4 linked regions of the Drosophila melanogaster genome follow. The protein of the gene in region 2 interacts with the protein of the main gene of each other region in a pairwise test. Each region holds a gene or a part of one and is shown on either strand. Other genes may lie near its edges. The genes, in order: CG13784, CG8219, CG2852 and TwdlF.

Evidence for each region.
Region 1: the proteins of CG8219 (region 2) and CG13784 interact in a two-hybrid assay, tested with the Drosophila melanogaster proteins (one large-scale study listed by BioGRID).
Region 3: the proteins of CG8219 (region 2) and CG2852 interact in a two-hybrid assay, tested with the Drosophila melanogaster proteins (one large-scale study listed by BioGRID).
Region 4: the proteins of CG8219 (region 2) and TwdlF interact in a two-hybrid assay, tested with the Drosophila melanogaster proteins (one large-scale study listed by BioGRID).

Annotation. Positions count from the first base shown.
Region 1 is NT_033779.5:7,216,170-7,222,605, reverse strand, and holds the start of CG13784 (uncharacterized protein), read left to right. Parts: upstream 1-2,572; 5' UTR 2,573-2,746; exon of another isoform or gene 2,747-3,475; 5' UTR 3,476-3,494; coding exon 3,495-3,697; intron 3,698-3,752; coding exon of another isoform or gene 3,753-3,753; exon of another isoform or gene 3,754-3,955; intron 3,956-6,436. Other genes in the region: mEFG1 (mitochondrial translation elongation factor G 1), read left to right, coding at 1-1,465, 1,519-1,864, 1,929-2,073.
Region 2 is NT_037436.4:6,197,094-6,204,276, reverse strand, and holds CG8219 (uncharacterized protein), read right to left. Parts: upstream 3,805-7,183; 5' UTR 3,738-3,804; coding exon 3,639-3,737; intron 3,546-3,638; coding exon 2,955-3,545; intron 2,902-2,954; coding exon 1,834-2,901; intron 1,777-1,833; coding exon 1,606-1,776; intron 1,552-1,605; coding exon 1,380-1,551; intron 1,319-1,379; coding exon 1,223-1,318; intron 1,168-1,222; coding exon 1,092-1,167; intron 1,027-1,091; coding exon 852-1,026; intron 791-851; coding exon 677-790; 3' UTR 501-676; downstream 1-500. Other genes in the region: LanA (laminin A), read left to right, coding at 1-102; Tnpo (transportin), read right to left, coding at 6,556-6,663, 6,720-6,894, 7,165-7,183.
Region 3 is NT_033778.4:22,643,002-22,648,644, forward strand, and holds CG2852 (uncharacterized protein), read right to left. Parts: upstream 3,344-5,643; 5' UTR 3,271-3,343; coding exon 3,181-3,270; intron 3,045-3,180; coding exon 2,920-3,044; intron 2,534-2,919; coding exon 2,131-2,533; 3' UTR 1,645-2,130; downstream 1-1,644. Other genes in the region: Ugt317A1 (UDP-glycosyltransferase family 317 member A1), read right to left, coding at 1-285, 342-429, 491-652, 804-806; CG30195 (uncharacterized protein), read right to left, coding at 3,692-3,974, 4,030-4,208; CG34446 (uncharacterized protein), read right to left, coding at 4,577-4,762; CG34445 (uncharacterized protein), read right to left, coding at 4,988-5,132, 5,193-5,452.
Region 4 is NT_033777.3:4,243,893-4,249,379, reverse strand, and holds TwdlF (TweedleF), read right to left. Parts: upstream 2,361-5,487; 5' UTR 2,320-2,360; coding exon 2,296-2,319; intron 2,237-2,295; coding exon 1,196-2,236; 3' UTR 1,067-1,195; downstream 1-1,066. Other genes in the region: TwdlG (TweedleG), read left to right, coding at 1-189, 363-529.

The sequences.
Region 1 (6,436 bases), on a different chromosome or scaffold from region 2:
GGCATTACCATTCAATCGGCAGCCACGTACACACTGTGGAAGGACACCAATATCAATATTATCGATACACCCGGGCATGTGGACTTCACCGTGGAGGTGGAGCGCGCACTCCGAGTTCTCGATGGTGCCGTTCTGGTCTTGTGCGCCGTGGGAGGAGTCCAGAGTCAGACCCTGACGGTTAACCGGCAGATGAAGCGCTACAATGTGCCCTGCCTGGCTTTCATCAACAAACTGGATCGCTTGGGGTCGAACCCGTACAGAGTTCTATCCCAGATGAGGTCAAAAATGAACCACAACGCTGCTTTCATTCAGCTGCCCATTGGAGTGGAGAGCAATTGCAAGGGCATCGTGGATTTGGTGCGGGAAAAAGCCATATACTTTGAGGGCGAGCACGGAATGGACATCAGGCTGGACGAAATTCCACAGGATATGCGGGTAGAGAGCCTGGAGAGAAGACAGGAGCTTATCGAACACTTGTCAAATGCAGACGAAACGCTTGGAGAACTTTTCCTGGAAGAGAAGCCCTTTACAGAAGACGATATTAAGGCGGCCTTAAGGAGAACCTGCATCAATAGAACCTTCACACCTGTCTTGGTGGGCACAGCACTGAAGAACAAAGGTGTCCAGCCATTGCTAGATGCAGTACTTGACTACCTGCCCAATCCTGGAGAGGTAGAGAACCTGGGCTTCATCGAGAAGGAAGGACAAGACCCAGAAAAAGTAGTCTTAAATCCCGCCCGCGATGGCAAGGATCCCTTTGTTGGCTTGGCGTTCAAGCTGGAAGCTGGTCGCTTTGGCCAACTAACCTACCTCAGATGCTACCAAGGTGTCCTACGGAAGGGTGACAACATCTTCAATGCCCGCACCAACAAGAAAGTGAGAATTGCTCGCTTGGTTCGATTGCACTCAAATCAAATGGAGGATGTAAACGAGGTGTATGCCGGCGATATATTTGCGCTTTTCGGAGTTGATTGCGCCTCCGGAGACACTTTCACCACCAATCCCAAGAACAATCTGTCTATGGAATCCATCTTTGTACCCGAGCCCGTGGTCTCAATGGCCATTAAGCCAAATAATACCAAGGATAGGGATAATTTCTCGAAGGCTATTGCGAGATTCACCAAAGAGGATCCCACATTCCACTTCTTTTTCGACAACGATGTAAAGGAAACTCTTGTCTCGGGAATGGGTGAACTGCATTTGGAGATCTATGCCCAGAGAATGGAGAGGGAATACGGTTGCCCAGTGACGCTGGGAAAGCCAAAAGTAGCATTTAGGGAAACCCTGGTGGGACCGTGTGAGTTTGATTACCTGCACAAGAAACAATCGGGAGGATCGGGTCAATATGCCAGGATTATTGGAGTCATGGAACCACTACCGCCGAACCAAAACACCCTGCTGGAATTCGTGGACGAAACAGTGGGCACCAATGTACCAAAACAATTTGTTCCTGGAGTCGAAAAGGGTAACTAAAATTACATTCCTCAATGTTCTGATTTTAATATTTTATTTGCTTAGGTTACAGAGAAATGGCTGAGAAGGGAATGCTCTCCGGTCACAAGTTGTCCGGCATTCGATTCCGCCTGCAAGATGGTGGTCACCACATCGTGGACTCCAGCGAGCTCGCCTTCATGTTGGCTGCCCATGGTGCCATCAAAGAGGTCTTCCAGAACGGCAGCTGGCAAATCCTAGAGCCCATTATGCTGGTCGAGGTCACTGCACCCGAGGAATTCCAGGGTGCTGTAATGGGTCACTTGAGCAAACGGCATGGTATCATCACCGGAACTGAGGGAACCGAGGGTTGGTTCACTGTCTACGCGGAGGTACCGCTGAACGACATGTTTGGCTATGCGGGAGAGCTGAGGTAATCTTCAGTACACATTGGAAACGTTGAATTGTATCTAAATATATCTCATCTTTATTTACAGATCGAGTACCCAGGGAAAGGGTGAATTCACCATGGAGTACTCCAGGTACTCGCCTTGTCTCCCAGATGTCCAGGATCAGATCGTCCGGCAATACCAGGAGTCGCAAGGATTGGCCCAACCCGACAAGAAGAAAAAGAAGAACTAGGTTTTAACTTAATCTATTTTTAATTACCATCTCTATCAAATCGAAATGTTATTGTGTCACCCCTATTTTTGCTTAGTTAAATTTTATTTCATACAACAATTTTCAGTTTTCACTGTGATAAATGCGAAGTGTACAGTTATTTGTATAATAAAACAAGATTCAACAAAAATCGGTATACTTAATTAATCACAGCTTGTTGATATCAGTTGAATTTTTCGTCTTATTTTTCTTTGAAAATGAAATATATATATAAATTAATACAAATAACTCATTTATATTTGAAACGCTTTTGTTGGAGGCGCACATACTATTTTGTACCTATATAACACTAGGTACGGAAATAGGTACCGATTGGTACTCCGCGGTACTTAGTCATCTTACCGTTAAACAGGTCGAAAACGAGTATAACAAAAATATCGAATAATAATGTCAGATGCGTTAGGGAATGTGAGTTTCAGGATTTCGCTGACTGGTAACACTAGCCACAAAACTTGTGTACGTTTGTTTGTGTTGTTGTTTTCGCTTGCGTGCGGTTGATCCGCGGACAGTTTTTCCGCAAACTCGCAGAGGAAATGCAAACTGTGGCGAGGTGAAAGGAAAACTGACCACCGAAAGTGCGAAGAAGAACGAAAATTGAAACAACAGCAAGCGACAGCAATTAGCGAATGAATAAGTACGATTTTCCGGAACAATAATAATAGCAACAACAGCAACAACAACAACGGCTGCAGCCACAACAAAAATTTAACTCAATTAACGGAAAAGGCAAACGGGGGAAAATGCAATTGAAATGCCGAGAGCATTTATGAAGTGTGCTGATGTGTTTGCGTAGAAATGGAGCGATTTGTGATTGCAGCGCTTTGCTCGTCTAGTGTTTTCCGCTGCCAGAAAAGTGTGCGCAGGAAAATCGGTGACGATTCGTGAAAAAAGGGGCATAGAAAATTCGGTGAAAATTCAATACAAAAAAAACGCGGAAAACGAAAACACAGGAAAAATTAAAAGAGCGACAAAGAGTGAGAGCGTGCGAGAGCAATAGGGAAATAGAAAATAAATATCTTCGCTGCCTGCGTGTGGGTGTGCGTCAGTGTGTGTGTGTGTGTGTGCAAAAGTAGAAGATCAAAGCGAAACGACGAAAAACAAGCACAGCAACAACAACACACAGCTGACTTCCTTTCTTTCCTTCCTGCATTACACTGTTCAACAAACAATAGTTATAACCGCAAACGATGCGAAATCCAGTAACTACAACAACGACTACTTCCAATCGCCGGCTTTTAAACTAGTCAAAAAATCAAATCAATAACATAAACTACACATATCCGCTAAACGACAAAACCTAAAACGAAAAATAAATTTCAAAACACAAAGTAAACGAATAAACTAAATATAACCAAATTTCCAGTAAACAGAGATAGCTCACAATGGATTGGATCATCAATGATGAGATGGGCCTGACGGTCGGTCACGTGGTGGGCTGGGCCGCCGCCTCCGCAATGGTTATTGGGGGCGTGATCCCCTACGTGCCCCAATACATTGAGATCAAGAAGACGCAGGACGCGGAGGGATTCTCTCTGTACGTGTGCCTGGCGCTGCTGGTGGCCAACTCGCTGAGAATACTCTTCTGGTAAGACTTAACTTGTACGCTAATCAAAAATAACTAAATTTGTAATCGAAAATAGATACTGGAATACTAGATACATAATAGATACCTAGGAAACTAAAACATTACTAGCATCCGTACGAAACTAATTAAATTCATTACCTAATGCTCCATAATGTTAACAAAAGTGCTTAAATGTGAAAGCTCAAAATTTTGCAAGTAATTATGACGATTTCATATCCAAATATGCCATTTTTGAGCAATAAATCAATCATGAAAGGCAAAACGAACTTTTATTGCACGCGCTTATTTTTCTTTTTGACTGTACAGCACTCGAAAATAACACAAATCACTTTTGAACGCTGCGTATTCAAATGAAAATAAACACCTGCAAATTCTCTCTCGTTTTTTTTCTTTTGATTTGGGTTGAGAATACAATTGAAATACATCATAATTCTTTAAAAAAAAAATCTCTAGAAAATTACTGATATGGCACTTCCTTGTCTTTAAAATCTACCTAAAAACTTACTTTAGAAACATGCTATTATATCTACATATATATACAGAAAGATCTCTTTCGCAGTAGTTTCGAATCCTCTGGCACCCCTGCGGTGAAAACGTCAGGTACCTGAACCTCTCTAAGTAAACCCCTGTCCACTTTTATCTCACCCACATTGGGATGACTAAACCCACTCGGCAAATACCTGGTATGGTATTACGGCTTATCTGGGTGGGCAATTCAAACCGCTTATCACGCGAAATTCTCTCATGGTCCGACGCGACAATTTACGGTTTGGAGCACTTGAGACCAAAACCCCTTCCTATCTGTTAGCTATGTCATGATTTCTGGTCGATTTTGCTCACCATAGTCGATAGACGACTTCCACAATTTGGACGAAGGACCAGCGTACTGGTTTTATCTTTATTGTACTCCCAGCGGTATTTAGGTATTCGGCACAATGCACAATGTCGTCGATAATCGCTATTTTCGCTGGGGTTTAGGACACTTGATGGAAGATTTATCAGCTTTCATGCTGAACTAATGTTTTGTGGGATGTTTGATAAGATTGTTACACTCAACTCAATACAAGCGCAACTATAGTTTATAAGAAGTCAAAAAAAACTATTTCGTAATATACGAAATTCAGTCGTTTTTGGGAATATTTAGGTGACTTAAAAATGTTGACAGTCTGAACTTTCGTTTCTGGAATGGTTTCATCCAGCTGCCCTGGATTGTTGATTCATCTTTTTGCAGAGCGAAACATATAAATCAAAATTAATAAAGTAAATTTTTAATTCAATTTGAATGAGTGTGCAAAGTAGCTTTCAAAATGTGACAATGCCATTGAAACCAGTTGAAACTGACACAGAGCCAACAAACAAAAAGATATAATTGAATTTGCGCTATTGTTTATTCAGAACGTATTTTCATATTTAGTTCAAAATATATATTTGCCATATGGAATAAACGGAATAAACGGATTTTTAGGCCAGCTACTTCTCGACTGGCCTTTAACAACAGGGTCAACTACTTTTGTCCAGCTGGTTTCTGTGTATTTTTCAGGTTGTTTAGCCCGTTTAAAGCTGCTGCTATTGTGGTTTTTCGAGACCCATCGCTTCCTACTAATAATTTATTAACAAGCCAAGTGAAACGTGAACGCAAAAACAAAAAAAGAATAGGAGCAACTGGTGGCCCTCATCGACGCCGTCAATTTGTCTGGCCTGGGTGGCAATCAATAAATAAATTATTTAGCTGGAAACTGTTGCCGGCGAGCAAAGTTGAATCAGCTGGGCAACGAGGCTTTGAGCCGAATAATCCCAATACAATATGTATACGTTATATATAGATGTTTACGATTCCTTGTGGCCAGACATTTTTTTTCCAGACACGCGATCAGTTTCAGTTGGGTTTTATGAATAAAGTCAGTCAGTCTGGAGGCTAAGTAATAGTGCAATAGGAATGTTTTGGGGGCTACAACAATGATAGGAAGTAGCTTTTAATTTATGCACGACTTTTTGCTTTCCGTACGCCGTAATTATTATTATTCCGACTGAATAAACCCCCGCAAAAAAAAAAAAAATTTAGTTGAGTGCAACTGGCAATTTGTGTACAACAAAATGCACGAAACACTTCAACTATTAAAAGTTATTTCGTGAATTTACCATAAATTGCACGCAATTACAATTAATTAGTTCACGTGATGGAAATATATTTCACATATGTGATATTCAGAGAAAAAAAAACACTCCCAACAAAGGGAGGCAGATTATGGATAGGAACAAGAAGGAATGACACATCCCGTTGACTTTATTGTAAAAATTGACAACGTGGCTGCCTTTGTTGTTGATCGTAAATATGCATATTAAACACGGAATTAATCATAAAACTCACACCGTGGCACGACTAAAAGTAAATATAATAATTGGAAAAATTTTCTGTGCTTTTTGCATGAGCTCATTGCTTGAAATCATCGCTGAATAATTATTGTAAAATCAAGATTAGAATTGTGGTTTAGATAATGCGAATAGAGTTTACACTTGAGATAAGATATTTGGAATTTTTTTTTCAGCTTTTGGTGTAGGAAGTAAAGTAAAGTTGTTTTTATCTTATCTGTAAAAAAAAAAGTGCAGTCCATTACATACTTCATATACTAAATAAAAATTCTTTGTTTGGCTATATTTTATGAAGTAGTTATTCATTCAACTTTCAGTTAATAAAATATTTTGCGATGTGGGCGTTTTTTCCAGTTTACTAACGAAGCA
Region 2 (7,183 bases):
AAGGGCTGCATCAGCAAGGTGGAGGTTAACCAAAGGATGATCAACATCACGCCGAACATGGTCGTTGGCGATATTTGGCAGGGCTATTGTCCCCTCAACTAATAAAGAACTTCGGAACGACTTAAGGACCTATGATTTATTTGGACAACGACTACGAAAAACTGCCAGGAAGAATCTTCTTTTGCCGACAACTGCTAATCAAAGGACAACGAACGATCAAATTTCAAACGAACAAAATCGACGGGTCATAAAAAAGTCATAAGGTCTTCAAAGTAATAGATCCTTAGCAAAGATGCCAGTCGTATATATTCCTAGTACTATAAGCCAAACTGCGTGCCAATTCTATTAAAGCCATTTACATTTATATATCCTTTTTAAAACTCCTTAAGAGAATCTTGCATTTTTGTAATTCCAATAAACCAATAAAATAAACATTTTAATGAAACTAAAACTTTTGTTTTTTTATGTCATAAGTTTTAAATGGTGTAACATACATTTTTACAATTATTGAGACTTTATTTACAAAAATATTTCAGGTTTTGTTGAATTATTCATATTATAAATGATTATATAAAATCGTATATTACTCAATAGCTGACTTTTTTTGGGGCTTTGGTTACTTAGTAAAATTAGAATGATGATTGAAGCAATACATAATTGGCTGGATAGCTTCGGATTAGTATTCGATGTCGTACAGTTCGATTAGCCGGCAGGCCAGTGGTTGTGGAAATTTCCCCAAAAAAATTAGCCAATTCTCCGCACCCGTTTGGTTCTTAAAGCCTTCGATAATCTAGAATAACAAACGAGTATTGTTGAAAGACGAAAATTAATAATTTCCGGAAATAACTTACTCTTCGAATCATCTGACGCAGATCCTGTGGAGGATTGTCCCACGAGGCAATGGCATCGCAAAAGAATAAGAAGTCGGGCACCACGCCTCCTGGATTCTCCCTGATCATATGGCACATTCCCATAAAAGACAAATACTTCTCGTCGTGGTCATATGCGTAACGCAATAACAAGCACCTTCATTTCGTGGAAGAAAGGATAATTTAAAAAATGAGCAAATGAAGCATTTAATGTGTACATACCACTGGCGTAGGAATTCGGGCAAATAGGGAGCCACTTCATCTGGACATGCATTTCCGAGGCGCCCAAGTGTTATTGCTTAAAAAAAAGAATAATAATAATAAATTACTTTAAATCAGGCCAAATTACTTACCCGCATTCCTCGAAAGATTTTTTGGAATGTCCTGCCGGTTCATCAGGATCATTAGTTCGCTAAGCAGAAGGCGTACGTACGGCTTGGTTTCCTCACCTTAGGGGCGAAATACAAAAAATCTTTTTTGTTACATTATAAGAGAACCAAGCCAACTTACCCAACTTAACGCAGATTTGCCCTATGGCCCAAACTGCATTGTTGCACACACCAACAACGCTGGGGTTTAGGTTTTGCACCAAGATCAAAATAAAGTGGGCCGTGTAGGGGTATACCTGGGAAAAACAAGCCCCGCTCAAATCACCCAGCAGGGCAAACGATGATTGGCGAACCTAATATGTATTTTAATCCCATATACACGAGTATATTAATTAGGTAAAACTTACTTCGGGCATAACGTCGCCCATGCATTGGCAGAGCAGCTGCAAAAGTTTGCTGTTGGCCACCAGTGGCTCTATGAGGCTCTGCAGCCCCTCGATCAAGCCAGACACCAGATCCAGGGCGATAACCATGCGCTCCTTGTCAGGATAATCGGTTGATTGGCTTTGTTTACACATCTTGAAAGGAGTCGAGTTCATTGATAGATTTACATTGAAGCTAACACAGTTGCTTACCATGTCCTGGTTGATAGTCTCCTCAATAATGGAGATGCCCTTTCGATACACCGAGTCGCAGTAGGGCAGAAAGGAGGACTGCAACGCAGTGGCGATGCTCGATAGGCACTCCAACAAATAGATTATATCTTTGTCGTCGTCCTTTACCAGGTTCCACTTATCCATTAGCGGAGGCATTAGGATGTCAATATATTGCGGTTTATTCAGATGATGACCGACGGACTCCGCTAAAAGACCAACGACATCGTACATTATCAGTAGATTCCTTTGGTGGTACTTGGAGAAGGCTAAGACGAACGTCTTTAGCATATTCTCCAGGTAGGGCACCAGTTGCGTGCAGGCCTCCTCCTCCAGAGCGACAAAGGCAGAGCACGCAGCTTCCTGAACGCGCTTATTGGAGTCCAGGATGCACTTCAGCAGTTCCTCGATTAGAGGCTCCAAGTACTTGTCGTGCGGCTGGTTGAGCACCCATTTGGGGAATCGCATGAACGTCCAGCATGTAATGGAGCGTACGAGTGGCTTCTTGTCAGACAGACAGGTAATTAGGTAGGGAATCAGCTCTGGTAAGTGTGGGATCAAGCCCTGCATGCAGCCCTCCGCAATAGCTCCCAAGGCCATCACACCACTTTCTTTGATCACCCATTCCTGGTGGAATAGCGCCTCCTTTAGGATGGGCAGCATAAGGGGCAGACAGACATCGCCGAAAATTTTCGAAATAATGTCGAGAGCACAAGCGCTGCACTTGCGCAAGTTCAATGCCGAATCCCACATATCGTCGTCCGAGTTTTCATCCAATTCATTACTTATACCGTGTACGCGGGACATGTGGAAACGTGGACTGATATCCTGCTGTCTATCAGGCTCCTTGTCATCTTCACCTACATCGCCCTTCAGAAGAATAATGTCCGTCTCCGTGTATTGCGTTCGGCTTACAAGAACTGGGACTAACTGGGATAGAATGGGAGAAAGTATATCCCTGCAGTTTCTCTGCTTTCCCAATGAAAGCCAAAATTCGGTGGCCTGCAGAGCCACGTTCTCATCGGCGTCCTGGGAGCGCAACAAAATGAGCTACAGAGATTTTTCATTACGTTAAAATTTAAAACTAAACCTTAACTTCATACCTCAATAATCTGCGACATGTGCGGCATCATAAGGTCTATGCGCACCCCCACCAGACCAACCAATGCGTGGCAGACGTTCATGCGAACCGCTGGGTCATTATCCGAGGGCACGTCTAAGAGGTTCTGAATGAGGCTGTCTATGTTTAGCATCAGGGCCTGTGATCTGTTGATGATGAACTGGTTGATGCAGGCAATGGCGTGGGAGCGGATCTTTGGACTGCTGTGCTTAAAGTACTCCAGGAACTTTGGAATCATTGTATTTAATGGCATATTTTCCAAAATTCCGGCAGAGTCCTCGCAAATTTTCTGCAGAGCACTGAATGCTCCTTCGCACACATTGTAGTCCTGGTTGTCGAGCATTTCGCAGAGAGATGGAAGCAGCTGCGGCCAGTTGTGCAGACCGATATTGCTGGCAATGGTGGTAATCAGAATGCCCACGGTGCCACGGATCTCGGGTGAAGAGTCGCCCACTGCCTGCAGGCACTGGTGTTTGATATACTCCAGGTGTTCCGGCTGCAGAGTGATGTCGTGCATGCGAATGTTGTTCTTGAGGATTAGGCCGCTCATGGAGCGCGTTGCCTCGTTTTCCGTCTTCAGATTCGTGAGCACATAGACGAGATAGTTGTTGAAGTCCGGGAAGCACCCGATGAGGATTGCTAAATCAGTTGGGTCTTCGGTACTTACCTCTTGCACGGCTAGCTGCGTGGCTTTACCGGGAGACTGTGAGTCCTTGAGTATCGGTAGGAGCTGCTGCAGACCTTCATCCCGTGGTGTCCATGCCATTTTGCTGCTGATGCAAAAGTTAGCCGGGTTTTGTATGATAAATGTGGGGTAAGGTCTGCCAAAGGGGGCTACCGAAGTGACAGAGAATGACACTCTGTTCTCGGCCTACTCATATCCCATACAAATCAGAAAATCCATTATCTTGATGGGTAATGTTTGTTATACATACATATTTATTCATATATATACTTTTCAATTTACACAAATCTTGATAGTTGAATTTTGAAATGGAGTTTTTAGCCAAACAAATATATAAACTCCAGAAGAATAATCTGTAATCCATATAGTTTGATGTAGGGATTATACATACATGCATGTATTTCATATATATGCGTATGTTATTTATGCATATAGGCCCGTATATATATTCAATTTCGTTAGACATTTGCAGAACATTTGATTTAGCCTAGACAGTGGTTGTAAGCTTAAACGATTAGAGATATAAACCTATCAGAGTTGAATGTTCGATGAACGAAAAGTTTTACGTGCTGTTTATGAAGATATAGATGGTAAAACAATATTTACTAGGCTTGGTCTTGATTTACTTAAAAAAAACAACGGAAGTTAAATATCATAATTGTGTAAAGTACTAAAAACAGTTGGTATGTTCTCTTCATCGATTTAATAGCATACACACGATAATATTGAAAGAAATAAGAAAAAAATTCTCTAATGCTGCACAAATAACTTTTGATTTGCTGTTTTAATTTGTTTCTTGCCCTAGCTTGACCTAACATTTAGTTTATTTGATGTTCCCTACTTTTTTTTTTGGTTTGCCCTATCGTAATGAAAAATAATATTTTAAACAAAAACCTACTCTGCATAAAATCTATAAATATATTTCATATTGCTGTATATGTGTGGTGTGTACATGTTTAATGTTGTATGTTTATGTGTAGTTGTAGTAGTGTTGATTCAGTTTTTTTGTTTTCATTTTTTTTTTCTGCTTAAACGCTAATCACTAAGATCACCCGAGAGAGATACAAACGCACGCGAACGCGACCGGATTCCGCGATGAATCCGGATTAAGGTACAACGAAATCACGATTTTTCATTTTAGTTTAGTTTCAGTTTTAGCAATTGCTATGCTTCCGCTTTAGTTAGACCGTATTATTATCAAGTTATCAAGTATTGCGATTATTATTTGGGACTCGGGGGCGAAAGTCCCTTATTGTTAGTTTTTAAATTGATTGAGTTTAACGCGACGCGAACGAACGACCCGAAGTTACTTTATTATCACACGTTCCCCCATTTTCGAAACGAAATAAAAACACAAACGTAAACACGGTTTGCATAATTACGTAATACTATTACTTAGATTTACTTACTCTTCTTACGCTTCATAATCATCCATTTATTTTGTATTTGACTGAGTTTGGTTTTCCCTAGTTTTATTTTTCGTATGTTTTAGTTGTTCCGCGACAATTTCAAAGACTTTTGTTTTCATTTAGTAGTACACTTTACACCTAATCATATAATTGTAAAAAATTTGTTCTGTACAAAGATCGTAAATTATAGAGGTTACGCAAAACACGAGTCTATACAAATGATATAAAAGTTCGAAGAAAATAATAATAGTTCATTAATTACACTTGTCCCTATACAAAAAAAAATTATATAATAATACTTTAAAAAGTGATCAGTCAATGGTTGCTTTTGTATTCAGTTAATGGAAAATAAATAAGATATTCAACAAAATCCTAATCTCAATTTTACAATGTTTCCCTATTTGCTTGCTTTTCGCTTTCACAATGCGTAAAAAAACACCTAATTTTGTATAGCATATGAATATCATTAAGTGTATCAGTAAATTTGTATCAGTAACAGTTGCAATATTATCGTTATCCTTGTATTATATCCTTTTTTCCTTTTTCTTTTGTTTTACCCGACGAGATACCACGAACGACGATTACGATTACGAACGAGCGACGAAAATACGCGAACGCGAAACCGTTAGAACCCGAAACGCGACGATTTTTTTCGATTCCATTTTTTGTTTGTTATATAAATGACGAAAGTGTTGGATACTTCTGGGAAATTGGAATCCGCTGTTGATGAATGCTTTCTATGGTTTTTGAACGGAGTTGAACATCAGTCTTTGTTTGATTTGTAACAATTTTGTGTGCACCTGCCATTGAATCCATTTTTCCATTTCTGATCTTAGGATTTCACAGGAGACCCAACACTTTCATCCTTTAAAGATTTTATTTAGTTATTTAGTTTTTAATTACCGCGACGAGGACCCGCAATATCATTTAGTTTCGACGATTTTTCATTTAGCTTTTCTATTACTATATGAGAAACACCCGTGTGTTTAACATATTCAACTCTATTTTCGGTTTGGGTTTTGGGGCAGAGTGTATTGGAGAATGGGGCATATCTGCTATAGCACTGACTCCGGTTAAGTACGGCCGGAACACATAATTTTCTAGTGGTTCCTACTAAGTTTTCTGCACAAGAAAGGCATTTTATATGCTGTAAGCGGACAGTCGTGTGCCTAAAGAGGTTCTACAGATCAAAGATCCTCTAGCTTGAATTCAAATATATACGATTCTTCTCTATTCGATTTTTCGATATATGTTTGTGGATTTAAATCTAGTTATGTAGTTTCTTTTATGTGGATTTGCTGTTTTTTTCGATTTCTATAAGCTTAGATTTTCAATGTTAACTTAACATTCGAACTGCATCGAATAACTTAAGGAGGCTAAAGATAAAGACGACACGCTTATTACGCATACTTGTACATAATTGTCTAGTTAAAAAGTTGCTGCTTGGCTCGCTAATGGGTGAAGGTGGGTGTTTTATGGCATGGCTAGCCTTAGATGTTATACATTGTGGTCAGGCGCTCGGCCAAGGTTGGCGGGAATTGCTCCACAAATCGACGCCAGTTCTCCTCGCCCACTTGGGTCTTAAAACCGTGCAGAATCTTGAAAGAAACATGTGTGAAATAAAGAAAATAGTTACTACCTGTAGGGTACAAACCTTCTGTATCATCTGATGCAGATCCTCTGGTGGGTTAACCCAGGAAGCGATGGCATCGCAGAAGAATATAAAGTCTGCTACCACGCCAGCTGGATTCACCGTGATCATATGACACATTCCACGGAAGGCTGAGTCCTTCTCATCATTGTCTCGTATGTGCCGCAACGATGTGCACCTGCATTTTTCAAAGAAAATGTTTAAATGTCGTTTTCAGGAAAAGTAAACTAAATTAGCAGGCTTTGGCAAACACGAAAGTTCAAAAGCAAATTTAAATTCCAGTTAAATGATGTGGATTGTTAGTGAGTTGTGGAACAAAGGAATAGATCGATGTGCTTATAGGTTTCAGTGTTCAAGCGTAATTTAAGAGTAATGGGAAGAACGGGAAGGATAGATAAGAGAATAGAAGGAAAGAATAAGCATTTTAAATATAAAACGTGTTACACACCACTGTCGTACAAATTCGG
Region 3 (5,643 bases), on a different chromosome or scaffold from region 2:
GTACGGCATCCATGTAGTTGCCGAAGTCCGTGGAAATAATCCCTACAACTGGCCGCTGATGGAGAGCTCCCAGTGCCAACAAAGCCTCTGTGTAGAAGTAGTCCACAAGGATCACATCGAAATCGAACTCAAGATATGACATCTTCAGCAGCTTTTGGATGGGCTCTTGGGCGAGGAAGTGGTCCAAAGCACGCGCTCCAACGCTGGCCAATGACTGGCGGAGTTTTTCAATTGGCAGGAGTCCAAGATCAGCAAGGTTTCCCTTGGGTGCCGCCTGTTTTTGCACTGTATGTGGATATTGCTATACTTCGTGAACAATCTTCTCCAGACGGCCTACTCACATTCGCTCCAAAAAGGAAATTCCGCTGTCACCGTTTCGGTAACGTTATCCAGAGATTCTCCCAAACCATGACCGGTATATACTTCAATCTAATTCAAACAACATTCTTTTCATTTCTTAAACGTTTTAAACGACAGCACTGCCACTTACTGTGTGCTCGCGATTGGCCAACTCGGTGACCAGAGTCCGCATCACCGCAAAGTGACCCTCGTTGACATGGGGAAACAGTACCAGGATCTTGGCTGCCTGTGAAATCTGGCCCAGAGCTAGTCCCAAAATAGCCAGCAAGATCCAACGATTCCATTGAGATTCCTATATGGTTTAACATACACACAACTAATTAGGTCATTTCCGAAAGTACACATCATCGAATTAAAGACAATCTCTTCTTATCTGTCTTCCAGTAGCTTCGAAACTATTTGGATGACACTTTTTCTAGAACTTCTTGCATCCGTTTACCAACCATATTCCCTATTATCAACGATCAGCTTGGGATTATACTTAAGTTCCGGCCGTAATGCAATTGCATTCGCCGGTAAACTCTTCCGGTTGTATTGAGTTTACGAATGAGACTGAACTTATCGCTCCCAGCGCCTTGACTCCCCACAAAAACAAAACACTCAACTGATTGCTCTCGGGAATATAATCTTAGAAGTACGTCCAGAATTTCTGTGGTCACTGGAACATGTGTGGCACATGAGATTGCCACCAGACCCCAATACACATGCGTTTCATATAGATCCTATTGCTTTCATTAATGTATACACAGCGATTGTGGGGTCTGTGAAAGGGGTACAATTGCACATATGTACGTCTTCATATATATGTACATATACGATTCCCCACATTTGAACGATATGAGATCGTCTCTTCAGTTCTTGGTTTCTCTCGCTCTAAACAAAAGATTGGGGGACGTGAAGTCTAAGGATTGGCAGACATATGCATTTCTAGACAATGTTGTTGCATTTGAGTGCATTCGCTAATTGTAAAAGTTGCCAATTCATCAGCGTCTGAGATCTGAAAAATTATGCTATATATAATTAGTTACTAGAGGGCTGGTTTCGGGCTTTCACCTCTATATACATGGGATAGTATAGTATGGTATGTATATAGTAATCAATATTTAGTCCAAGGGTTGTGAAAGGAAACTTTCTATAAAGAACAGGATACTTGATCGAAAGATGAGCCAGTGGCACTTATTTAAGTATCAATCGACCCGATTAACTTCTGCAGAGACAGTCATGCACCTGTTCATTCAATCATATACAATTAGTTCCCAGCAGGCCCAAACAAACTGAATAAATATACAAATGAACTCGTCTGTGTGTTCTTTAATTTGTCGCAAGTGTGCAAATCAGAAAAATGTGACGAACCGAGCGTTGTTTATCAACAACAAAGAGAAAAAACAGACAGAACATGGGCAATCTAAATCGAGAACGGCACAACATACAAAGGCAAACAAATTGGCGAAGAAGGCACAAACCGGTTGCCACTAAGGGAAGTCAGAGCCAAAAGAAAGCGATGGAACCAAAACCGGTTCATTGAACCTGCACACCACCGGCATCATGGTATAGACACACAGAACGATTCCAGCTCTTTATCACACAAAAAATCATTCTTTATTTATGCCATTTCTGTTTTTAGTTGAGCACAATTACTTGCTTACGGAACGAAATGTAAATAAACATGGCGAGCTATGGTAAATGCAAATGTCTGGAAAAATCGATTATGCGTTTATGCTTAGTTCAAATCGGTTATGTTGCTGATGGATGACATGCTCCCCAAACACTTTAGTCGGTGGCATCGGCCTTGGCCACGGAGAAGGCCTCCGAAACGGGCAGGGTGCCGCTGTTGGCGATGACCACATCCTTGACGGGACGGTCGCGGGCATCAGTGGCCGAGTTCTCGATCTGGCGCACCACATTCATGCCCGACAGGATCTTGCCGAAGACGACGTGGCGTCCATCCAGCCAGCTGGTCTGCTTGGTGGTGATGAAGAACTGCGATCCGTTGGTGTCCTTGCCAGCGTTGGCCATGCTCAGCCAGCCGGCGCCATAGTGCTTCAGCTTGAAGTTCTCATCCTCGAAGCGCTCGCCGTAGATGGAGCGACCGCCGGTGCCGTCGCCCTTGGTGAAGTCACCGCCCTGGATCATGAAGTCCTTGATGATGCGGTGGAACTTGCTGCCCTTGTAGCTGCGGGGTATAAGAGCGTTGCATGATGGTCAGTTTTGTCAGCATGGGAATTTAAATTTAAAAAAAAACTGGGTTTAGAACTCGAAACCTAACCAAAAAAGAACATGCATACTTATAAATTCAGAGAAGAAAAAAGAAATACCCAAGAACTGCACTTTTATAGTATGGTAGACTTAATAACAGTTGGCGTTCTTTGTTAACCCATTAGTGCCGCTTTGTCAACTGATGTATGCGATTGGCCGCTCAAACGCCACGTAATTGCTTCAATCTGAGAGCCCCGCTATAACCTACAAAGTGCCGCTGATTAGCGGCATCTTTTGCTGGCCTAGCGGTACCTGGCACCCTACTATGTTGGGGTATTTTCGGTACTCAAGTACCCTACTCACCCCTCGCCCTGCGGCTTCAGCGCCAGCTCCTTGAAGTTCTCCACCGTCTTGGGCACCGTCTTGCCGAACAGACCGATCTCGATGCGACCAGCGGGCTCGCCGCCAATGGTGATGTCAAAGAAAACCTACGCAATCGGAAGCGGTTTATTATTAACAAGTCATCTCACTTGATTTATGGCGCAGCAAATGTGTGTGTGTGTTTGTGTGTGTATGTACGTGGTGTATGCAGAATGTAAGGACGAAAGTCCAAGGAGCACGCACCTTCTCGGTCACTTTGGGACCCTTGCTATCGTCGGCAACAACGACGCCGGCCACCAGGGCTACCACGAAAACGGATAAGAACAGCTTCATCGTTCTAAATATTCACAGCGCTTCAGTTTATTCCTCAAGCGACGTCGCCAATGGATATTTCACGACTGAATTTTCGGTTTCTGTTAGTGATGTAAGAAAACTTTGTTGCATCGCCAATCGATGTTTTCCATCGTTTTTTATGTTTTTGTCGAAATATCGATGCTTAAGTGTGACCATTCGATGACGATGTCTGATGATCACACATTCGGGCGGAAAATTCAAATTCAAATAGTTAATACGCCGAAAGCATAAGTTAAGGTTTTCGTACGAAGGAACAAAGTAAGTTCGAAGAGTTGACTTTATTGGTATAGTTTTTAATATTTTAGGGATTAGAAGTCCAGTTTGCATTAGCACGTAGCATTCTCTCTTGTTTTATTGACGGTTCTGTACACAAAAAGTAAGTAAAAAAATATGCTTTTATTTATTGGTGTACTGCTATTTGCGTCTGAGATTTGTCCATATCCTTGGCTGCCTTCTCTGCTCTCTTCTTCTCCCTGCTGGCCAGAACTTTCTCCCTGGATTTCTGGGCCCTTTCAGCGCAATCCTTGGGTCGTGTCTTCAGGGTCATATCATCCACGGCCGCCTGTTTACGGGCTGATCTCGAAATGCATCGTTCCATGCAGCTGATGGGCACAAATCTTCCAATGAAGCAACCGCAGTGTGAACAATAGTGATTGATGTCCTGGCGGCCAGACCATTTTTTACTGAAATAAAGTGAACATTACGAAAGATTTATAAAGCTTCATGCAGATGGCCAACCAAAGTTTTGTGAATCCCAGAAATCTCTGCAGGCAAGTGACCAACTCCAGTTGCACCAAACTGGTTCCAGACTTCTCACACGAAGGACAACGGATCCAGGTGGGCTCCTCCTTCAGGTATCCCACTTGTGGCTTGTGGCTGACAATGATGGCCACAATCTGCGGTTCGTCCACGGTCATGATGCGAGTTCCAGCGAGAACGATCGGTGACTGAAAGATGGATCAAATTTGGAGAGATCATGGGAGGGAAAATCAAAATCAGAATCACTCTCCCGATTTCTCTTAACCGAGGCGTTGGTCTGGTAATTAAGTTAGTGCATGGAAATCAAATGAGTTATTCTCTCTGCGTTACAAATGCCATTGGATGTACAGTGTAAAAAGTATAGTGTACATTTTGAGCATTACACATTAAATAGTAAACTTTTATTCGTTTCAAACAGCAGTATATTTATTATTATTATTGAATATAAATTAAATGACAAAACTGATCTACATTTGTTCATTGTGTTATAATAATTCGGATCCGATGATCCTTCTTCAGTGGGTATCTAAAGTTGTGGACGGCGGTATACGCCCAGGTACTCCCCGCAGGCACCGCAGTGATGCCTCTTGGTGCAGCAACGCAGCCAGGAACGCACCACACGGGTCTTGGCCTTGGTCCTGCAATAAGGACACGTAATGTCGTTGGGGCCGGGGCCCACGGCAAAGTAAAGTGGTTTCGGATCCTGAGCCATTTCGCACCGAAAGATGTTGACTGCTTTAAAAACAAACGCAGACTGAGGCTAGCGAAGAGAAATTGTAGGAATAAAATGTTCAAATGATATGCAAAGAGAAAAAAATCGGCCCAAAAAAGAGAAAATGTGATATTTTTGGCTTTATTTTTGTTTCGATGGTATTGCAGTAGTGGGTGGGAAATTGAGTGTTTAGAAGAATTTTAATAAATATGTGAACAATGCTGCCTAGGCGGTGGTTGCCTTCAATTTGAGTGGTTGCCTCCTCTTCATGGAACGTCCAAAGTAACAGCCGCAATTGCCGCAGTAATGACTTCGATCGGTTTGTTTGCACGGCACATAGTAATTAAAGCAGCAGCAGCAGCAGAAGGTCCTGTAAAAGTATTTTATAAGTTTACGTTTCCAAGAAATAGGAGAAAGTAAGGCAACCTACACAAAAAGACATCCCACAATGCGGTTTAGTTCACTGGCCCACCACTTCAGATCATTTTGCACCACACTCAGATCCTTGATTCCGCAGGCGGGGCACTCGATCTCCACGGGCTCGCGTGGCAGGTTGAGAAAAGTGCCTGCCAGGGGCGTGGCAAAGTTCTCGTAGATCTTGCGCTCCTTTCGGTCCTCCAGAGCCTTGGCCTCCCGCTCCCTGATCTCCTGCTGCGTTTCCGCTTCCTTCTCCGGCAGCGTTGTCGTCATGATCGCTCAACAATCGAACTGAAAGCGAAACGCTGCCAAGCACGCTGGCAACCTGTTTCCAAACTCAAAAGAGAACGTGAGTGCACAGAGAGAAATAATATGGAATTTTTGGCCAATATATTCCCCCGGTTTTCCGCCCAAAAATATGCAGTTTTTTTGATCGAAAAAGTAAAAATAATGAGCCAAATATG
Region 4 (5,487 bases), on a different chromosome or scaffold from region 2:
CGTTGCGCATCAAACAGGCTCCTGTGGAGGAGAAGACCATCATCTATGTGCTGACCAAGAAGCCGGACCCACTAGATCTCCAGACTGCCATCGAGGAAATCGCGCCGAAGCAGCCCAGCAAGCCAGAGGTATTTTTCATCAAATACAAGACCCAGGAGGAAGCTGCGCATGCGCAACGTACCATTCAAGGTGAGCAACACCCGCATCGAGCAGATGCTATGAGACACACTTGAAGACCTCATCAGTATGCAACAGACCTCAAATGTTTCGATTTGCAAGCTTCATAGAAATGTCTATCGACCAATTAATCTGGCTTGTCCAAATTTTTATTACCCGATTTTTAACCGATTTACTTCTTTTAGCTCAATATGACCAGCTTGGCGGAACATCACAGGTTTCTGACGAGGGAGTTGCACCCGTTACATCCGTGATTGGCGTACTGGACAACCAGCGCAACAACGGAATTTCATCCGGACAGTTTTCTGGCTCCTTGCCAAACAGCTACTTGCCAACTAATCTGCGTGCTTAGGTACAACTCCAAGGCCACTGTCGTAATTTTAAGACTTGAACTCTTGTAATTTACACATTTAGTTAAATAAAGTTCATATTTTGAGCTCCGCCTTATGATAGAAAGCGACTCTGCAGCCATATTCAAATATGAAATCGAGTTTCAATACTTCAAAGTAACAAAATAGTTTTCTATGGACCATGTTACCACATCCATTAGTCCAATGACAGCCATCCAAGCCGAAAACCGGTCGCATAAATTAGCATGTGATTTGACTTACATAACAACGATTAAGCCACACGAAAACTTGATTATTATGGCTGTTGGCTTAATGCCAAAAGAGATGGTCCAAACTTTCTTGCGAGAAAGAAGTCATTGTCATAGTCTCTTAGCCCATTGAAACATTTTTGTGATAAAAATAAACAGCGTTTTCATAAGAAACATTAAACTCAAGCTATGCCTTAAATGAAAGATTAATTCCAAATCCTAAAACAAAACCTATCTAAAATATTAAAAGGATTAAACTTAAAAACGAGTACTAGAAACAGAAGGCTTTTTGGGTTTCGATTTAAATTTTTTTATATTTCTTTCGACTTTCGACTTTTGCATTAAAAATAAATTAAAATTTACTACAGTATGATGGTTGATATAAAACAATGAAAGCGATAGGATTCTTACTACAACTTTTTAAAAAGTCTTTGCCGGCACATACTTCCTTGATGGCGCCGAGGGAGCGAATGAGGAGGTGGACTTCTGCACAAAGGAGCTCTGCTGCTGGACCCCCTGGACCCCCTGGTTAATAGACTGCAGCTGAACAATGGGCTGACCCTGTGGCTGGATAATGGTTGGCGCCTGAGAGTGGATGATGGTTTGGCCAGCTTGGGAGTGCTGGGGCACAAAGCTGCCCAGGTTAAGGGAGCCACTCGAAACGCTGGCGATGGGAGCCACTCCCTCGTCCGAAATGTGGGTTGCACCTCCCAAGGCGTCGTACTGGGCCTGGATTTCCTGCTGGGCGCGCTGGGCCTCTTCCTGGGTCTTGTACTTAATGAAGTAGACCTCCGGCTTTTGAACCTTGGCCTCAGACTGGGTAACCTGCAGCTGCTGCTGGATCTCAGTGAGATCGGGCTTTTTAGAGAGCACGTAGATGACGGTCTTTTCCTCGTTGCTTGACTGGGCCCGCTTCAGGGCCGCGGCGGTATATTTCAGATTCTGGGAAGGCGCTTTAATGAAGACGATCCGGTAGTTCTTGCGGATGGGCACATTCTCCAGAAGTGGCTCGTCCTGCCGCAGTTCCTCATTCTCCTCGGGGGCGGAGTGGATGTAAATGTCCTTGGTAACGATAGCGGGGCGCTGGACGAACTGGGTCTGAAGGGCTTGCTGCGGTTGCTGCTGGTACACGATTTGCTGAGGCTGCTGCTGCACAGTGCTGATCAGGTTTTGCTGGGGCGAAGCAGTAAGGAAAGTCTCCTTTGGGAGTGAGATCGACAAAGGAGCGGGAGCGGGGGCGGGAGCAGGAGCGGCAACGATGGTCTGCACGGCTTGAATGGCTGGCTGGACACCGATCGCGGGCTGAGCACCGGCCTGTGGGAAAGATGGGACGGCGCCACTTGCGTATATTCCACTTGACGAAATGGGTGTCAGAGGACGAAGATTGCCAATGGGAAGGGCTGGCAGCTGAGGTTGGTACTTGTATCCCTGAGGAGCTGTTGCTGTGAGGGCCACCAGGCACTGCAAGAGCACATTAAGTGTTAGTTGTTGCGGGGATCGCTCATGTGCCAGTTGCTTACCATTAGAACAACGAACTGCTTCATTTTCACTTTGAACTGTCTGAGCTGCTAGGGTCGAATGATGCCCTGCCTTCCCATTGCTATGTTTTTATATCTGTCCAGGCTGGCATCGTTTTCCCAATAAATGAAAAAATTATTAGGCACTACCATAAATCGTATGAATCTATTATAGACTTCACAACTTCGAATATGTAACGTTTCACATTGGCGGTTGCCAAATCACAGATCCGTGTGCGCAGATGCACTGCTTGAACAGTCCGGGATCTTATCTAACTTGGCGACCAACGCTGCGTTCAAATTTAAATAATCGCTTGAGATCCCCATTGTCAACGCTGAATATATTTATATGCAAAATATTAATAGGTAAAGCGGTTCGATTGACAAAACTGGGATAATATGAAGAAAGTAAGTTTTATGGACGGAAACCCAATTTATACACATTCATGACCAAAATTGTGGGAAGCGATCTATCTGCATATAAAATTCGCTTTGTCGCAGATGTTGTATAAATGAATTTGTTATTAAACAAGTCTTTTCAAAAATGCAGAAAAACCAATAAGCTCAAAGATATTTGTGAAAATATGCTCAGTTCTTCAGAAATATAGCACTTCATGGCTTGAATCCAACCTGGAATCATGCTAACAATACTATTGTTATGGGTAATGCTTTTACTTGCTAGTTCAATTGTTTTCTACTTGCACAACGGTAATTGGAAATAATGGGCAATAACGGTAATGGAAATAACGGACAGACGTTCATGGCCAGATCGACTCGGCTATTGATCCTCATCGAGAATATATATACTTTATATGGTTGGATCTGCCTGTTACATAATTTTCAACGAATCTAGTATACCCTTTAACTCTACGAGTAATATAAATATTCTTATAAAGTGTGGTAAAGCGAATTTTGGTCGGCAGTTGAGCGTTAATTAGGCGAGTCGATGTTTTTAAGTTTCAATCGAAAACATTCCAAAAATCAAGTTTTCATTTGACGAAATGAAATAAATTGCCCGTTACTCAGCTAGAGGGAGTGCGAACGAGTAATCGCAACATTTTTTGGGCGGTTTGTTAGCGTTAAAGTGGAGGCAAAACAACATGCCAAAAACCCATCGAAATTGGCAGGAAAAAATTAAAAATATGTTATTTACAATTTTGAACAGTGTGGCAGCTTTTGGCGATTTGTGGGTGTTTGATCTAATCCATCCAGCTTTTATAGAACAGACAGACATGGCCAGATCGACTCGGCCATATGAACGTCGAGATCTCAGGAACTATAGAGGCTAGAGAGTTGAGATCATGTACATAGACGCAGCTTTTTGCCTTGTTAAATTTATTAAATTTTTCCTCAGTTTATTCTCCAATATCTATCGAAATACCAGAAAAGTGGTGAATTGATCTGAGTAACGGGTATCTGATAGTCGGGGAACTCGACTACAGCATTCTTTTTTGTTTTTTGTTTTTACGACTATTAAATACCATAAGTAAGGGGAATTTTATGGCCTGTACAGTTTTGTCGGTACAAAAAACGTTATCTAAGCATGCATAGAATTAAAAATGCCGTTATGTTTTTTAAATAAAGTTGTTTAGCACAAATTATTATTATAGAAAAAACAGATTATCATTGATTCCTATACATATTGTGGTCCCCGTGGCACATTCTTTTTCACTACGTGGACTACGTCCGTAATGATTGCATATAGTCACGGCTAATCTCCTTTCCCGGTAACACGACATTGAAACATAGTGTTATACCAAAGGCACTAATGTCTTCGGTTATATCTTATACTGATTATTTTGCGTTTAAACTAATACTTTTCATGAGAAGGTGGCAAGTACGGGCTTGTCGACGGTGCGTTTACCTTGCGAACGAACGCATTCCCGTCGTCAGTTCCACTTGAAATGACCTTAGACGCAAAGTCCAAGACGGAGACCGAGGCTCCACCGTTGTAGTTGGTTGAAACTCCCGGTAGCAAGTCATACTGGGCTTGGATAGTGCGCTGGGCGTTCTTCGCGTCGCTCTGCGTTCAATACTTCACAAAGTGAACCTCGGGCTTGCGGTTTTTGTTGTTGTTACGGATAGTATTCAGGTTGGTGATCCACTTGCCAATGTTCTCCTGCTTGTTGAGCACGTAAATGGCGATGCGGTCGGCGGACGCGGAGGTGGCCAGCTGGAGCGCCGCCTGCTCCAGTCCCTTGTTATCGGGATCCTTGATAAACAACACAAGCACGTTCTTCTTTATCAAGTGAGCGATCTGCTCGTTGGGGTGGTCATCAAATTCGTGCTCTGGAGCACTGTAGGTGAAGAACTCCTTGGTGAACTCGCTGGCGGGTGCTATAGCCTTAGAAAGCTGGGCGCGCCAATCAGTCCTCCGTGACCATTACCGGCATACGATACTGGAGTGTAGTCGTACTTCCCTCGCGCCATAGGAAAGAGGCTTAGAATCTGAAATTGTTTGATGGTTACACAAAGTGCGGAATAAATGCTTTGTGTTCTTACTAGAAAGATGCGCATCGTGAATACTTGTATCTACTTGTGGGTGGCTAAATACATTTTTTGTGCGGGCAGTTCGGCAGATGGGTTTCCTTTGCCGAAGATTACATTTGGTCGACGCTTTTATACGTTACTGTTCCAGTGGCTTTTCTGATGCAAGCAATCATTTGTAAGATGGAGAATATGCAAATCTATTGAAATTAGGGAGACGTAGGCCTATTTGATAATTCAGCCCATTTTCATTGCATATTATAGAGCAAATAAGGAAGAAGTAACATTATAAATTATAACAAAAAGCTTTGAGAGTTTGTGCGGACATGCCATATAAAATGTTCTCCTAGTGTTCTTTGTAATGATAATTTAAACACATTTTAAATATTTTATATTCTTTATTCGAATGTTACTTTAAAAATGCTCTGATACTTAATTGTAGTATTTGTCATTTTATGCATTTAGGCGAACTTCTTCCTCAACAAAAATGTGCACTTCACGACATATACTTTCAATTCATATTTCTTCAAGTAAAGTTTCCGACTATTTTGTTATCGTTTTTCCATTTTTTAACCTTTTGTTCATTAGTTGATTAACTAATGTACTGCAGAAACAACATTCGCGTATTTGAACCACCTATTTGCTAAACAACTTTTAAGTCATTATAAGTAAGCCACTAATATTCACAAAGGTGTCATATAAAAGCAG